Arabidopsis thaliana: one gene and its partner. The protein of the gene in region 2 interacts with the protein of the main gene of each other region in a pairwise test. Each region holds a gene or a part of one and is shown on either strand. Other genes may lie near its edges.

Region 1 (6,663 bases), on a different chromosome or scaffold from region 2:
TCTTCTTATATTGTAAGTGATGATGAGAAATGCCAAGCAATGTGTTGTGGTAAAGAGTGCAATTTAGGATCACATGAGTCTTATTAGTGTATGTTCTTCTAGGGATTGTTTGAAGGGCTAAAAGCTTACAGAAAGAAAGATGGTAATAACATCCTCCTCTTTCGTCCTGAGGAGAATGCAAAGCGTATGAGAAATGGTGCTGAGAGGATGTGTATGCCTGCTCCAACCGTTGAGCAGTTTGTAGAAGCTGTGACAGAAACTGTACTAGCAAACAAACGTTGGGTAATGAATCACGCAGTTTTTTTTGTCTCCCGATATGCAGAGGAAATTATCTAGATATTTGTTTGCTGTTATGAATTTAACTTGTGTTTGGTGTCTTGTTTTTAGGTTCCACCACCAGGTAAAGGTTCCTTATATGTTAGACCATTGCTAATGGGAACAGGAGCTGTTCTTGGTCTTGCGCCTGCACCAGAATATACTTTCATTATCTATGTTTCGCCTGTTGGGAACTACTTCAAGGTCTTTCAGAGTTACTTCGATCTATTCCAACTATCTAAGATTTGTTGTATGTTTCTCTGAATGATGATACGGATTTATATGATGATGTCAGGAAGGTGTGGCACCTATCAATTTGATTGTGGAGAATGAATTTCACCGTGCAACTCCTGGTGGTACCGGAGGTGTTAAAACCATAGGCAATTATGCTGCAGTAAGTAAAAGCTTATTTCACTTATTGATTTTATTGGACCAGCTTTCGTAACTCACACATACAAGTTATTTATTTAGGTACTGAAGGCACAGTCAATTGCGAAAGCTAAAGGATATTCCGATGTTTTGTACCTTGATTGCATTTACAAAAGATATCTTGAGGAGGTCTCGTCTTGCAATATTTTCATCGTGAAGGTAAATAAAAATCAATCTCTCGGAATCTGATGATGCCTTGTAGAGTCTATAAGATGTCTCTCTTCATAAGACGTAGGAGATGATGAGATTGAGACTCTGGCACCATGTTTTTTTGGGGGCATTCTTACAAACATATCAAGATACTGATTCTCTTACATAATGATTTTTTAACCAACACTTTTCTTTGCCAGGACAATGTGATATCTACTCCTGAAATAAAAGGAACCATTTTACCCGGTATTACTCGAAAAAGTATGATAGACGTGGCTCGAACACAAGGGTTTCAGGTGACCTCTTCCCCTTCTTTAAATTCCCAACATCTTTAAAGTGGATCATAAGTACTATTATTGGCTTCTGATCACAGTGCATGTTTATACGGTATTGTTCAGGTGGAGGAACGGAATGTGACAGTGGATGAATTGTTAGAAGCAGACGAGGTTTTCTGCACAGGAACCGCCGTGGTTGTCTCTCCTGTTGGAAGCGTCACTTACAAAGGCAAAAGGTAAAACGTTTTTTCTTTGTATCCCAATTTAAGTGAAAACCAAACCTACCAAGTGGTAAAGCTTTCCCCTTTTTCCGAATACACACACAGAGTGTCTTACGGAGAAGGTACCTTCGGAACTGTGTCGAAGCAACTCTACACCGTTCTGACAAGCTTGCAGATGGGTCTGATTGAAGACAACATGAAATGGACTGTGAATCTTAGTTAAGCCAGGCGAATGCATTGCATCAATTCGGCTGCTTGGTTTTGCTTTCTTTTCTTTGGTCTGTGGTTCTGATTCGTGAAACTATGAGTTGGATTGTTTAGAATCTGGTTGATCTAGAACTTAGCTGGTTCAAGATCATTAGATGTTGTTGCATCATACCAATAATATTATCTTTAGATCTCTGTTTCTGATTAGATGGTTACATCCAATTATTTCTCTAAAGTCTGAGACATCATTGATATCTAACAATCAAAAACTAAAAAGTGAAGTATTAACATTTTAATCAGATTCAAACCAGAACTTATCAGTCATCAAAAATGTTGGCAAATAACAAATCAAACTTAAGTTTTTGGATGGAGAAAGCAAGCTAGATTCGAATCTCTAAGAAGCGTGGACTTGGACTTGTTTACGACCTGAAAAGATGTCATGATTATCTCATGATTACGAGATAATAACATGTCTTATCTACTAAACTAATCTAAAAAGTAGTGAGGATGACTTGAAACTTAAGTCTTATATGAATTATCTTTAAATATAGAAAAAGAAAGGAGATAGAGAGGTGTGTTTTTCATGTGAACAACTTTTTTTTACCTTTAGAGTACTTCCAGAAGACTTATTGGGTCCTTAATAAAAGTAGACCAAATTATTGAAGAGCTAAAAAAAAATGCCTACTCAAAATATCCAAACCTCTTCTTTTAGCCTTTTGTTTTTTTCAATATTCATACTAATGTAAACTACAATCATTGTATCATTCTATAATCATATGAATTTTTTGTCAACACCATGCATTATGCTAGTTTAAATTTAGGTGATGATATAAAGATATTTTAAGTACAAATCAATAGGGGCGATGTTCTTATGTCTTTATCTAACTTTATGAATTTGTGTTTTATATATTATGAAAAATTGGAAAAGAAGAGATGGCCTACGCTCAAGACCAATTCCTACCAATGGGCAATGGTGTTGAAATCTGAACAAAAAAATTTCCTTTCTTTAACGTTAGCTTTAAAGTTCAAAAAACTTTATTTACTTTTTCAGTGATAATTCTGTATAAAATAACATATAACAATGAGGAAAAAACTCAATAATTTGAATCGCTTATGACTTTATTTCTCCAAGTGCTTGACTTTTAAAACCCTAATGTCCAATCTCAACTAAAGTCAACCTTTTTCGTTCGTCTAGAAGAGTCAGTCATTAAGTTTCAATTGAAGTATACAGTAAATTATTAGTACTTTTTATTTTATTTTAACCACAGTTCATTGGCTGTATGAGATTTCTGTTCAAGAAAACATATAAATCGAAACCAAAGCAAAAGACATTATTTGCTTCGGTTTCTTCTACTCAAGCTCATTTTTAGTAAAACTAAATTGTATTTTCATTTTCTTAAAAAGTTAATTGTTTTTTTTGTAAAATCAGTTTTACCAAATTGGACACAATAATGAATATATGTCTATGTCTAGTTTTTTTTAGCTCAGAATATATCTTATGTGAATAGAATCGTCTATCAGATATTTTTGTGATGCAGATAGAACTTACCGTTATAGAATCATTTGTAGATTGTTCATCGTGATTGTTAAGATTAGATTCCCATTTGTAATATAACAGAAACTCGAAAAGTACTTATATTAAGTATTAACGATGTATCATGTGACCAAAATAGAAAATACTACGTAATGATATGATTATTAAGCGAGTGTGTAGGTAATTCAAATATTTCAATTAATCAATCTTTGATATCACTCTTTAGAGTAATGTATTATCTTTCTTATTGTTTTACCCTGGGATTAATAAGTTTACCGGATCCGGAGTAGAATTTCTTCGGTTTGGCAATTTTGTTCACCTACCATAACGAACTTTTACCCTTATACTTAGTTTCAATCTACTTTTGGTGCATCCTTTCATTTTCAACTGCAAAGAAGTAGTTAAAAGATCCAATACATAATATATTTAATTTATCATAAGTAACTTAGTGTAAAGAAAGACTAAAGTACTTTTTAAAATATGTATTTGTATTTCCCGATGTGAAAGAAAAGAAAATTGAATTTGCACATATCAATAATATTAGCTAGGAAAAAACTTGTGAGAAATTTCTTTGACGACTTGCGTGTGCAATAGTCTTCCTTATCTTCTCTACCATTTCTTAATTCCACTATTGTATAGTATTTACTTATGTTGAATTAATAAATTAAAACATTTAAATTTCCCTAAAGTTACTTTTTGATTTTTGATTTTCTATTTTTATTACAACTTTCCTACTTTTTGACATCTTTTCTTACAAAGACTTTTTGACATCTCCCCCTCCAGCTATTATATAGTCTCCTTTTTTCTTTTCTGCATTCACATAATATTTCCCCTATATAGTTTACACAACATCATACCCACCAACATATATAATCTTGATCATAGAGAGATAAACAGAGGCCGCTATCAAGAACAAGACTAAGAACAAGACTTCACTAGGAGTACAAGTATGGGAAGAGCACCGTGTTGTGACAAAGCAAACGTGAAGAAAGGGCCTTGGTCTCCTGAGGAAGATGCAAAACTCAAATCTTACATTGAAAATAGTGGCACCGGAGGCAATTGGATCGCTTTGCCTCAAAAGATTGGTATTAATAAATTTATAGTCACTCTTTTTCATATAAATTTGATAATTCTCTCTTGATCTATCTCTTTTTTTGTGAAGAAGTATTGATAACTAAAGATGCTTTTTGTTTATATGATTATTTCTTGGTTGTTTTAAGGTTTAAAGAGATGTGGAAAGAGTTGCAGGCTGAGGTGGCTTAACTATCTTAGACCAAACATCAAACATGGTGGCTTCTCTGAGGAAGAAGAAAACATCATTTGTAGCCTTTACCTTACAATTGGTAGCAGGTACTATTCATATACGTTATTCATGTATATATCGTTAAAATATCATGTGGAAACTCTGAAATATAGTTATGTGATGATGTCTATAATTAAAGGTGGTCTATAATCGCTGCTCAATTGCCGGGACGAACAGACAACGATATAAAAAACTATTGGAACACGAGGCTCAAGAAGAAACTCATTAACAAACAACGCAAGGAGCTTCAAGAAGCTTGTATGGAGCAGCAAGAGATGATGGTGATGATGAAGAGACAACACCAACAACAACAAATCCAAACTTCTTTTATGATGAGACAAGACCAAACAATGTTCACATGGCCACTACATCATCATAATGTTCAAGTTCCAGCTCTTTTCATGAATCAAACCAACTCGTTTTGCGACCAAGAAGATGTTAAGCCAGTGCTCATCAAGAACATGGTCAAGATCGAAGATCAAGAACTGGAGAAAACAAACCCTCATCATCATCAAGATTCAATGACAAACGCTTTTGATCATCTCTCTTTCTCTCAACTCTTGTTAGATCCTAATCATAACCACTTAGGATCAGGCGAGGGTTTCTCCATGAACTCTATCTTGAGCGCCAACACAAACTCTCCATTGCTTAATACAAGTAATGATAATCAGTGGTTCGGGAATTTCCAGGCCGAAACCGTAAACTTGTTCTCAGGAGCCTCCACAAGTACTTCGGCAGATCAAAGCACTATAAGTTGGGAAGACATAAGCTCTCTTGTTTATTCTGATTCAAAGCAATTTTTTTAATTATAATAATATATTATTCTTAAGATGAAACGTACATCATTATTATTAATTGGGGGTACGTAACGTATATATGGAATAACGATCTAGTTTGTTTAAATTTATTGATATCTCATATATCTGGATTTGAAATTAACTCTAATATGCAGAAGTATGAACTCATATGCGAAAGATCCTAGCGAAGTAATCACATTTAGATAAACAAAATTTGTTATTGTTACTTTTTTTTTTTTTTTTAAAGTAAGAACGTGTAATATGCATGTATGTATATATGTATGGATGCCTATGTGAAAAGAGTTAACACTTAAGAGTATATTGTGCATGATGTGTTACGTTTCCATTATGTATACAATATGATAATACATAAATTTACACGCATAATATACCTATTGGGCGCAAAGTTATACACATTTTAAAATGGGAAAATATTAATGGTGCTTTTGGGGCCTTGGCATATGAGCTGATTATATATGGTCGGATCCATATGTACGTGGTTGGATGTATTGATTGTATATATGCTTCTTTAATTGATTGTATGTTCATCCTACTTTTTCGAATAATTTATGTTTACCTCAATGTCGGATTGTGCGAAGCATTTAGCTGGAAACCATTGATGTTAATAATAAGTAAGAATTAACATAGATGGATTTATAAGGATATAAGAATTAATACCTAACCATTTGACCAATGAAAAGTTTGGATCACCAAATAAATGAATTGTGTGCAACTCTGAACTTCTCAAAGACATGACCTCTCTATTCCTAGCAAGTCACTAGTCTGTTTCTTATTTCCTCACAGAATCAAATGATGATGTCATACGAAAATTCTCTTTCCCTTACGAGTTTGGCACATTCGTTGCCTATTCAAAAATCAAATCAAATTTAGAAAGTCCTAAAATGACACTGTCGCTTGAAATATACGTATAAAAACTCTCGCTTCAAAAAATCTTTTGTTGATCAAACAATCCATTCAGTACTAGCTAGAAGGCTAGTTAGAAGTAGACTAGACTTCACGGTTCAATTAGATATTATCTTTGATCTTCATATATTCATGACTCATGAGATGATATAGGACAAATGAGATGATATATAGAATTATAGATAACGATTTCAAAGAGTATTACAAAAACAAATGCATCATTTTTTTCTTCTTAAGAGTATTACAAAAGTACTCTCTGAAAGACAAGAATGTTCCAAAACATTCTCTTCAAACAGCAAAATGACAAACATAATTATTCAATTTTTTTTGCCGTTAATTTAATATTCCTAAATCACTCACCAAAATTTCACTAATTAAATAGTAAATATCATATCCTTTTATCACAATCAAGAACCTTATTAAATGCTTTTTACTTGTATATATGAATGTAGCTGAAAGTTTCAAAGTACACTTCGTTATCAAAATTTCAAAATATGTCTTCCAATGA
Region 2 (10,599 bases):
TTCTGAAATGAATTTTACTACTCTCGACGTGAACATTATAAATGAGGTAACTGTAAATACCTATATCTATATATTTTTATACTAAATCACTTTTGTGTGTAGTGATATAACAAATAGTTGATATTTGAACATTTACTCCATAGGAAGAACAAGGTGCTGTAGATATGATGGATATTGTAATTACATTTGATGAGGTAAAAGGCTTTTCAACTTTCACAATCCTATTTTAGGAAAATTAATTTTTTCTTATAATTAATTTTTGAATTTTATTGGATTATACATAATTTTTGAAAGAAATAATATAATCATACATATATATACATTAAACCAATTTTGTGTACAATATAGATATGACACATAATTGATATTTGAACATTGGTTGAATAGGAGGAAGAAGATGTTGCAGCTTTGACTGATATTCCAGAACAAGATGTTGAGATTTTGACTGATGTTCCTGAACAAGGTGTTACAGATTTGACTGATGTTCCATTGACATTTGATCAGGTAATCTTTTAAATTTTTACAATAATAATTTTAGTTATAAGTTGTATTCTAGTTTTATTGAAGTCTACGTAATTTTGAGTTTTGAAATATACTTACAAACGATTGATATAAAAAATATGGTTTTATTGAAGTCTACGTAATTTATCGAAATTGGTTTGATATATATACAATGATATAGCAAATAATTGATGTTTGAATATTAATTGCATAGGAGGAACAATGTGGTGCAGATTTGATAGATGTTTCATTGCCATTTGATGATGTATTTAAACTTTTACAATTCTACTTTAATAAAGTTAATTTTGGTTATAGTTCTCATCAAAATTTATTGAATCCTAGAAAATTCTTACTTTTTGAGAAAAAAAACTATAATGATACACCGATGCCATATTTTCATTTTTATATCAATTATAGAAATATAAAGAGTCTAATAGTATTTGTAGTCTATGAAATGTCACGTGTGTACTAGATCTAATTTCTTATAGCAAATTCATTTACTAGTTTATGTTTTCTGATACAGGATTGGAAGGATGATGGCCTCATGAACTTTATGCTGGATGTTGACGACATGTTTTAAGAAAATCTTTTAATTTTGCTTTTGAAAGTATCAGATTAATATTTGATAACTTTGTTATGTTGTTTAAGATTTTATTTAAAATTTGGATGTTGTTTTGGTTTAAGATTGTTTTCAATTTTTGACGTTGTTTTTGTCATCATGACTCATATTCAATTTGGATGCTATTTAAGTAATTTGTGAATTTCGTAGATGTTTACATGCATATCACTGATTGAATGATTGCATTTGTAGATATATGTTTGGAATCGTAAACCAAATTTTATTTTTATATTTAAAATAAAATGCTACAACTCTTAACAGTTTATTTTAATCATTTCAAAACCTTCGTTCTCTCCCTTTTGCCATCTACTCGCATACTTTTTTTAATCCACATATTTTCTTTTAAATAGTAAATACTACATTGTTTTTAGTATATCACAACAACAAAATTTGATAATGTAACATAAACGACCAATCACAAATCATATACAACTAGACAAAAATAATCACATATGTTACACCTTACAATAAATCTGAAAACTAAGTATAGTATATTATATTATCGTGTAATTAATATCTAGATATTAATTGAATAATTCCCATTTAAATTTTGGGTGAACCGGTCTAACGGGTTGTAGGGTTGCCGTGGAGGCTGAACTAGAATCAAACGTTTCCCATCTTGTTGTTATGATCACCGGAGGACTTGATGAGGAGGCCGTCGGTTTCCTTGACGCCTCCTCGTAAAATGTCAGCATTTCCCGTTCCTTGTATTGCGGCTTTGGTTTCGTTTGCGGTTGCCTTGAGTTCTTGATCTTCAACAAGTCGAGAGCCTCAACATACTTGTGTAATCTTTCCTCCTTCCAACAATTTGTAAATCGAATCATTAGATTCTAACTATACATAAAAAATAATAATTGTCAAAGCGACTTCAAAAACTTGAATAACAAGACTTTATGGGTATGATTGGTAATTACTTATAGAATGGTTCCATAATTCTGCAAATTTATGAATAAAAATTAATAGAGTTGTGTCATCTAGAATTCTAAGTAAAATGAAGAATTAGATTAGTAACAGTGAGTAATAAAACATGATTTAAGTACCTGCATCTTCTTCTTCAATTTAACGTCTCCATCACCTGAGATGGCATCGAGCTTGACCAATTGATTCATCAACATCTCCATCAAATTCTCAAGATTCTTCTCTTCAACTTTCCCTCCTTTACCAATCACTGTATCAAACGCCGACAGCTAAAGTCCAAAAACCAAAAAAAACAATTCTGATTCAAGTTACGAGACAAGAGCGTTGTTATCCGGAAAATTTAAAATTATGTTTCTTAAGTTACTTGTCCGGCGAGTCTTTCGACTTGGAAACTAATATCAGAGATTGCTTTAGATGATTTCTCTTTGGTGGCGATTTTCCTCAACTCAAGGAGACGTTTCTCCTGAGAAATGGGATCTTCTATAAGAATAAGTTTCGAACGATCTTTGACACCAGAAAGATCAAGAAACATCTTTGAGTCTCTTTCTTTGTCTTTGTATATAATCTGCATGTCTTGATGATGAACTCCTGTCGCACCAGACAATATCTTCTTTAATTCCCCTGTTGTTAAATTCAACAACAACAACAATCAAATTCCAAAAACAGAGCATACTAATAGTATAAAGGAAATACTGTATAACTCGGAATGTTTTGTGTCGTTTACCGAAAGTAGATTGAGAGTTGATACTGATCTCGTGATGGACCGACCCGTATTTGACCCGAACCCGAATGCCACGTGGCACGCTTGAGCTATGATCCGTCCTTTTCTGTACAACCATTCCTCCAGGTCGGAGCTCCATTTCACCGTCGCCGGAAGTTGTTGTTCCGATACTCATTTTCATCATTTTCTTTATTAAGAGAGATAGAGAGAAAAAAACAGAGGAATGATGAGATGAAGTTGATTTCTGAAAAAGATCAAGAAGAAGAAGAAGAAAAAAGAAACGTCTGAGCAAAGAGAAGTAAATACACTTTGTTTTGTAATAAATTAATGTTTCTGTTTCTGGACAGAACTCGTGGAAGAAGAAGAAAGATAAGAATCATATAAAGCAGATTATTGTTTTATAAAATTTTATACAATGAGAAAAAAAAGTTAAAGAAAAGAGTGACAGCTAATGTGATTGTTGTTATGTCTCATTATCAGTCCATCACAGATACATATATTTAATATAAATGTTGTATCCCCCACATATTTATTTCTATTTCTGATAAATAATGACGATATATTAATGTCGTTGTTACATTTATATTTATTTGTCATCGTTCTTCTGTATTTTATAAGTCGTGTTCTACGTTTCTAAGTACAGGTAAGCTAATGAAATAACTGAAACAGAAACTTGTGTTACACGTCACGCCTTTAACTCCGACAAACTCTGCAACTTAAAAATCTCTCTTTCTTGCAGATCCACATTGTCTAGAATTATCGTCGGTGTTGTGTGTCTTCTTGCCAAGTTTTGAATGATCCATGGACCGTACGGACCACACACGAGCTTTCTTTGATCATTTCTTGAACAAGCTAGTGCTTTAGAGACAGAGACACCGGTTAGGTTTGACCTCAAGACTGTTCGAGAACAGAGCTTTGAACGGTTGGAGAACAGAGTATAATTATTTATGGGCTAATAATGGGCCTAAAAATACTGAAATAGGCCTGTTGGGTCGTAGCTCCATATAGTTGGATGATCTTGTCGAAATATTTTAGGGGTTGAATTGTCAAAGGGAGTAATATTGGGGTCAATAAGTAATCATGCAAAAAAGAGGATATTTGTCGTAAGCCCACTCATTTACAGCTGCAATCATTGGTACAGTTATTACAAAAAAATAAAATAAAAAACATAATTTGGTCAATCAACTTTAAACTACACGCGTCGCACACGATCCATGCTCTCAATCGAACGATCCACAATTGATTTAACTTTATTGATCGCAAGGTCAAGAATATGCCACGCAATCAAAACAGCTAAAGGTTACCAATCGGTCATACGATACTTGTTACGATAAACAAGACACGTGTCAGTATTGACTAGCGGGTAATAAAAAGTACTTGCAAAACCATAAGCAGATGGGTCACCGGCTTGTCCGGTCAGATTTGGTTCTTACGATTTCCTCTAGGTATATTAACAAAGGCGCGTCAAGTTCATTGCCTAGTTCCAGCTCTCTCCAGGATTTTCCTTTTTTTTATGCAAAAACAACAAACACAAAATAAATAAGAAGATTGTTTATTTTAACTTTATATTACAGCTTGAAATTTCCAGGCAAATTTTTTTCCTTCTTCTTCTTCTTCTTCTTGTCTCATTAATTATCTTCCTCTTCTTCTGTTTCAATTCAGCTGGGTTTAGTTTTAATTTCTAGTTGTGATCTCTCAGCTTTTGTTCTATATTGATCGAAGCTCCACTTAACAGTTCTTCGTACGTTGTTTCCGTGTTCTTCGCTTTTTTATTTTGTAATTTAATTTCGGTTGCTTTTTAAATATCTAACTCCGAGATTTTTAAGGGATTGCTATCTATTTTTTTTTTTTTTGGGGATTGGTTAGTTTCTCGGTTAGTTATGTTAAGTAACGAACTTTAAAATTAGGGTTTTGATTTGGTTTTTTTTTTATTTCAGTGGTTAAGTTCAATGTCTGTGTATCTTTAATAACGCACCAGATTCATGTGTTAGGGAATGTTATTGATCTGATTTTAATCGATACATGTATAATGTTGTAGGTATCAGTAGTAAAGGTGGGACATTTGTGTCGCATTGAGGAAGAAACTTTGGATTTCAGACTCACTTGGGACCTACCCTTTAATGGCTTCTTCAACTTCTGGGATTTTCTTTCAAGGAGATGATGAATCTCAAAGCTTCATTAACTCTCACTTGACTTCCTCTTATGGGAATTCATCTAACTCTGCTCCTGGATGTGGTGGACCTACTGGTGGCTATCACAATCTCAGTATGGTTTCTGGTGATATGCATAATCCGGTTATGATGAGTGTTTCAACACCCGGTCCAAGCGCAGGAGCTAGTTCGCTTGTCACAGATGCTAATTCAGGGCTCTCTGGAGGTGGTCCTCATTTGCAGCGTAGTGCTAGTATCAATAATGAGTCATATATGCGTTTACCGGCGTCTCCTATGTCGTTCTCTTCTAATAATATCAGCATATCTGGTTCATCAGTTGTAGATGGGTCGACTGTGGTACAACGGCATGATCCTAGTGTTCAGCTAGGTGGCTCTAGTGCTACATCACTGCCTACATCACAAACTAATCAAATCCCGCTTTCTATGGCTCGGCGTGCTTCTGAATCGTTCTTTCAGGATCCAAACAACTTAACTCAAGCACGGAAAAAACCTAGATTAGATTCAAAGCAGGATGATGCTTTGCAGCAGCAGATTTTACGTCAGTGGCTTCAGAGACAGGATATATTGCAGCAGCAGCAGCAACAACAACAACAAGGCCAAAATCCACAGTTCCAAATCTTGCTTCAGCAACAAAAGCTGAGGCAACAGCAACAATATCTCCAGTCCCTCCCACCATTGCAACGGGTTCAACTGCAGCAGCAGCAACAAGTGCAGCAACAGCAACAGTTGCAGCAGCAGCACCAACAGCAACAGCAACAGTTGCAACAACAAGGAATGCAAATGCAACTAACCGGTGGGCCAAGACCTTATGAAAATAGCGTTTGCGCTCGAAGATTGATGCAGTACCTATATCATCAGCGACAAAGGCCTTCTGTGAGTGTGCATGTAGTCGTCAAATTTTTTGTTTTATGTGTATTCTAGAAAAAAGCTCTTGACAGATACCAGTCGTGTCATTGCTGATTTTGTAGGAGAGCAGTATTGTTTACTGGAGGAAATTTGTGACGGAGTATTTTTCTCCCCGGGCAAAGAAAAGATGGTGTCTTTCTCATTATGATAATGTGGGGCATAGTGCACTTGGTGTTTCTCCTCAGGCAGCCACGGTTTGTTTCCCTGACTCTTTGTTTTTTTTGGTTTCATACTCTTTATGCTGATCTTACGGTGTAGTTACAAATAGGTTACTTATTCTTGCTTTTTGTATTTTCCATTTGCAGGATGAATGGCAGTGTGATCTATGTGGTTCTAAATCGGGAAGAGGATTTGGTAAGTTCCAATTTGCTTATACCCTGATGAAGAAGAGGGAAATTTCAAAAATGTTTATGGTAGCAAAACATCTTCTCTTAGTAACTTTTTCTTATGGATTCTGCAGAAGCAACTTTTGATGTCTTGCCAAGGCTTAACGAAATCAAATTCGCAAGTGGTGTCCTGGACGAGCTTCTTTATCTGGGTGTACCGTCTGAACGCAGATATGGATCTGGAATTATGGTGTTAGAGTATGGAAAAGCAGTTCAGGAGAGTGTGTACGAACATATCCGTGTTGTTCGCGAAGGCCATCTTCGGATTATATTCTCCCAAGAGCTGAAGGTGGTTTAAAGAGCTTTTGATTCCAAATACTTTTAATCATTAATGTGTATTAAAGTAACTTAGCTTATCCTTTTTCCTTTTGCCAGATTCTCTCATGGGAGTTCTGTACTCGTCGACATGAAGAACTACTTCCTCGTCGCCTAGTAGCTCCACAGGTAACATTAATGGTTCTTACAATCTTTGTGACTCTTTTTGAAATCCCTGGTCTTGAGATTTTTTGAATGTCTGCTCCCTATGGTCGTGCAGGTGAACCAATTGCTTCAGGTTGCAGAGAAATGTCAGAGCACAATTGATCAAAGTGGATCAGATGGGATTCATCAACAAGATTTGCAAGCTAATAGCAACATGTGAGTCTTGATGATTCTAGACAATATTTCACTCTCTTTCTTCCATATTTCTCAATCAATTCAATTTCATTGTTTCTTGCATCTTGTACGGTAATTAGGTAAGATTTTTCACTGATGCAAAGAAGATCAAAGCGATTTTAGCTTAATATATACAAATATGATGTACTGATGCCAAGTCTTTTGCTCCAGGGTCATGGCTGCTGGACGTCAACTAGCAAAAAGCTTGGAGTCACATTCACTCAATGACTTAGGCTTCTCAAAACGATATGTTCGGTGTCTGCAGGTATCTCTCTGCCTACTTTCTTGCATTTTCCTGGTGGCGTGTCTCCTTTTTACTGTTTAACTCTTGCCATCTTCTTTAAACAGATTTCTGAGGTTGTCAGCAGCATGAAAGATATGATTGACTTTTGCCGTGACCAAAAAGTGGGTCCAATCGGTAAGTTAATACATAAATCCCAGAGAGTCCCTGAGATTCATCAAAACGCTTTTTTTTTACTTGGCTGTGCTTATAAAAAGCTTTCTTGCTACCTTTTAACATTTGCAGAGGCTTTGAAGAGCTATCCATATCGAATGAAGGCTGGTAAACCTCAGATGCAGGAGATGGAGCAACTAGCGGCTGCCCGAGGGCTTCCACCTGATAGGAACAGTCTCAACAAGCTAATGGCCTTGCGCAATTCCGGGATAAACATACCAATGAACAACATGAGCGGTCAAGGATCTCTTCCCGGCTCTGCACAAGCTGCCGCTTTTGCGCTTACCAACTACCAGAGCATGCTCATGAAACAAAACCATCTGAATTCAGACCTAAACAACACCACAATCCAGCAAGAACCATCAAGAAACCGGAGTGCATCCCCGAGCTATCAAGGAACTAGTCCCTTGTTACCTGGTTTTGTGCATAGCCCATCAATAAGTGGTGTATCTTCCCATCTATCTCCTCAGCGGCAAATGCCAAGCTCCAGTTATAATGGCTCAACCCAGCAATACCACCAACAGCCACCTTCCTGTAGTAGCGGTAACCAAACATTGGAACAACAAATGATTCATCAAATATGGCAACAGATGGCAAACAGCAATGGAGGCTCCGGTCAACAACAACAGTCACTTTCTGGTCAGAACATGATGAATTGCAATACCAACATGGGAAGAAACAGAACAGATTATGTTCCCGCAGCAGCTGAAACACCAAGCACCTCCAACAGATTCAGAGGCATCAAGGGGTTAGACCAAAGCCAAAACCTGGAAGGTATTATCTCTAATACATCGCTCAACTTTGGGAATAACGGGGTTTTTAGCAATGAGGTTGATGAAAGCATGGGAGGATATTCTTGGAAGTCATGAGAGGCATTTTGATAGTTAGCTCCAATGTTGTCTTTGTAAAGAACGAGTTACTAAAGACTAACTTTCTTAGGTATATGAATCTGATGAGGGGGATTCAATGTTAACGTGTCTACTGTGTTGTTGTTCTTTCTTCTTCTTAGATTAAAGCTTCTCTTTTTATGAAGAGGTTTTTCTGGAAAGTGTTACTAATTCTGGAAAAGAAAAAAGACTGTTCTTCAGGAACTCATCGCTATCAATCAATATTTTACCTTTTTTCTTATGACTTTTTTTAAGCCTCGTTTATTTAAAGCTGATACAGTTACAAACATCGGTAACACGTCACAAACAAGCCAGACACATGCTATTTTTTTCTCTGAAATTTTAATAAAATGTATTTGTGACGTGATTTTAAATCATACAAAATTCCACAAATACGGATATGTAATCTTCATCTACTTGCACTAATACAGTAATACTTTTCATCTTCAATATACCAACCATCCTACTATCTACAAGAGATAATTTGTCAACTCCTTTTACCATAGTTAATTTCATATATTACATAATTTTGTATATGAAATATTTTTGCTTTGCACTAAAGAATAAAATAAATAAATAAAAAAACCTTGCACTCAGCGTGGTGGATAGAGAACAGAGTGATTTACTTTCACATGTAAATCTTGTGAACTAACTAGACCATGTGACCATGCCAAACGTCTCCTCAACTCATCTAATTAATCACTCAAAATATACACTCAAAACATTATATAAATGATAAATCTAAACATATGATATCATATACATAGAACTACATCAGATATCTATAGAAACAAACTTATCCATGGCAATAATGGCATCGTTCAAGTCTTTCGCAGCCGTTCTCAGTGTCCTTTTTCTTGCCATGACTGCTATAGAAACGGTAGTTCAAGCCCAAGAATGTGGCAACGATCTAGCAAATGTGCAGGTATGCGCCGCCATGGTGCTGCCCGGTTCAGGCAGACCAAATTCAGAGTGTTGCGCCGCACTTCAATCTACTAATAGAGATTGTCTATGCAACGCTCTCCGTGCAGCCACCTCTCTTCCTTCGCTTTGTAACCTTCCTCCTGTGGATTGTGGTACGGATTTATTTACTTTTAACCAAGAAGTTTGATATTTGGCTCGTTATCCCAAGATGAGGATGAATAAAACAAATCTCAATATATATTTAGTTTTAGTTACCAACATTTTAGACTTGGCCTAATATATGGCCAAACCAAAAAGACTTGGCCTAAGATTCCAAGTAGATTAAGTAGGATAAAACCTCATATATCAGCTCTAGCTAACTCGGCTAATGTAGTAATGTGTTTATTTAATGATATATAGACCTCTATTTCATATCTGTTTCTGAGGTTTTTTTGTTTTTTTGTTTGTTTTGTTTTTGGGTTGTGCAGGTATAAATGCTTAGTTAAGCTACGAGTCAATTCCAAGATGATCAAGGAAAACGGGAAAATAAAGAATAATGAGAAATATTCCAGTCTTATGTTTTTTCTTCTAACTTCTGCTTTACTATAATAAAGTTCTAGTAGTTTTGCTTAGAAATTTAGATACTACTAGTATAATAAAAAGCTTTGATAATTATGAGAATAAAACATTCCCGGTCTGAAACCAAATTATTCTTAAACATGTACGTACGTAAGTCTAGACATCAGAAATAAATTAGATTAGTGACTTGTTTAATATGCATGGAAAATCATGTTAGTTTTCATTGTTGCCAAGCTAACAATGTTTGTTTAAAAGCTAGAAAGTCTAAAAATTGCACCTGACCCCTCTAGTGCTTGTTGCTGAATACGACTTGAGGAGGATAGTATTTATTAGTGGTTATAGACGATCGTTATCACAGCTAGTCTTTATTTTCGAATGTTCCCTATTTGTTTTCCTTTTTCGTAGACTTACTTCTAAACTGCATCCTACTGAACAGTAAAATATAGATAACTAAACAAATAGATAGATGAATAAACGAAGAAAACAACACCTTTCAAAATCGAGGGGTTAATCTAGCTAGTGATTAACAACTTCTCTTTATAGAATTTGAAGTACAAGAAGAATTTGAATTGTGCCACCAGAATAACAACCTATGTAACATTTGTATGGCCTGGATAAAAGATAAACACCTATCATCCACACAAAATATATTTCTGATTTCAAAAACATATTCCATACACATTTGTAAAGTTTGCAGTCATTGTATTGGATTGAAGCAAAGAAAAAAGCTGCCAAATTGCAGAAGTCACAGACACTAGACTGCAGTGAAATTATGGGCTTCAAAGAATGACACGTCCTCCCAATTATTCTCTTTTCTTCATTATTTATTTTTCATACGTTTTCTACATAATTCAAAGATCTAATATTCACTTCACAATTCACATTACAGAAAAAGTTAAA

What was found. Proteins that work in one complex are often made in the same cells at the same time.
Region 1: the proteins of SLK2 (region 2) and MYB84 interact in a two-hybrid assay, tested with the Arabidopsis thaliana proteins (one large-scale study listed by BioGRID).

What each region holds. Positions count from the first base shown.
Region 1 is NC_003074.8:18,423,861-18,430,523, forward strand, and holds MYB84 (myb domain protein 84), read left to right. Parts: upstream 1-3,874; 5' UTR 3,875-4,080; coding exon 4,081-4,216; intron 4,217-4,351; coding exon 4,352-4,481; intron 4,482-4,573; coding exon 4,574-5,240; 3' UTR 5,241-5,421; downstream 5,422-6,663. Other genes in the region: BCAT3 (branched-chain aminotransferase 3), read left to right, coding at 103-282, 388-519, 611-709, 787-903, 1,095-1,190, 1,293-1,405, 1,496-1,613. UniProt on the Arabidopsis thaliana protein: Transcription activator. Positively regulates axillary meristems (AMs) formation and development, especially during inflorescence.
Region 2 is NC_003076.8:24,932,821-24,943,419, reverse strand, and holds SLK2 (SEUSS-like 2), read left to right. Parts: upstream 1-4,180; 5' UTR 4,181-4,500; exon of another isoform or gene 4,501-4,797; 5' UTR 4,798-4,879; coding exon 4,880-5,803; intron 5,804-5,898; coding exon 5,899-6,030; intron 6,031-6,141; coding exon 6,142-6,190; intron 6,191-6,296; coding exon 6,297-6,511; intron 6,512-6,597; coding exon 6,598-6,666; intron 6,667-6,757; coding exon 6,758-6,858; intron 6,859-7,047; coding exon 7,048-7,141; intron 7,142-7,224; coding exon 7,225-7,294; intron 7,295-7,402; coding exon 7,403-8,199; 3' UTR 8,200-8,458; downstream 8,459-10,599. Other genes in the region: AT5G62110 (Homeodomain-like superfamily protein), read left to right, coding at 1-46, 144-194, 388-504, 1,025-1,081; BAG2 (BCL-2-associated athanogene 2), read right to left, coding at 1,645-1,950, 2,161-2,307, 2,403-2,659, 2,763-2,943; AT5G62080 (Bifunctional inhibitor/lipid-transfer protein/seed storage 2S albumin superfamily protein), read left to right, coding at 9,020-9,293, 9,609-9,622. UniProt on the Arabidopsis thaliana protein: Probable transcription regulator that functions in the development of the carpel margin meristem similarly to SEUSS (SEU).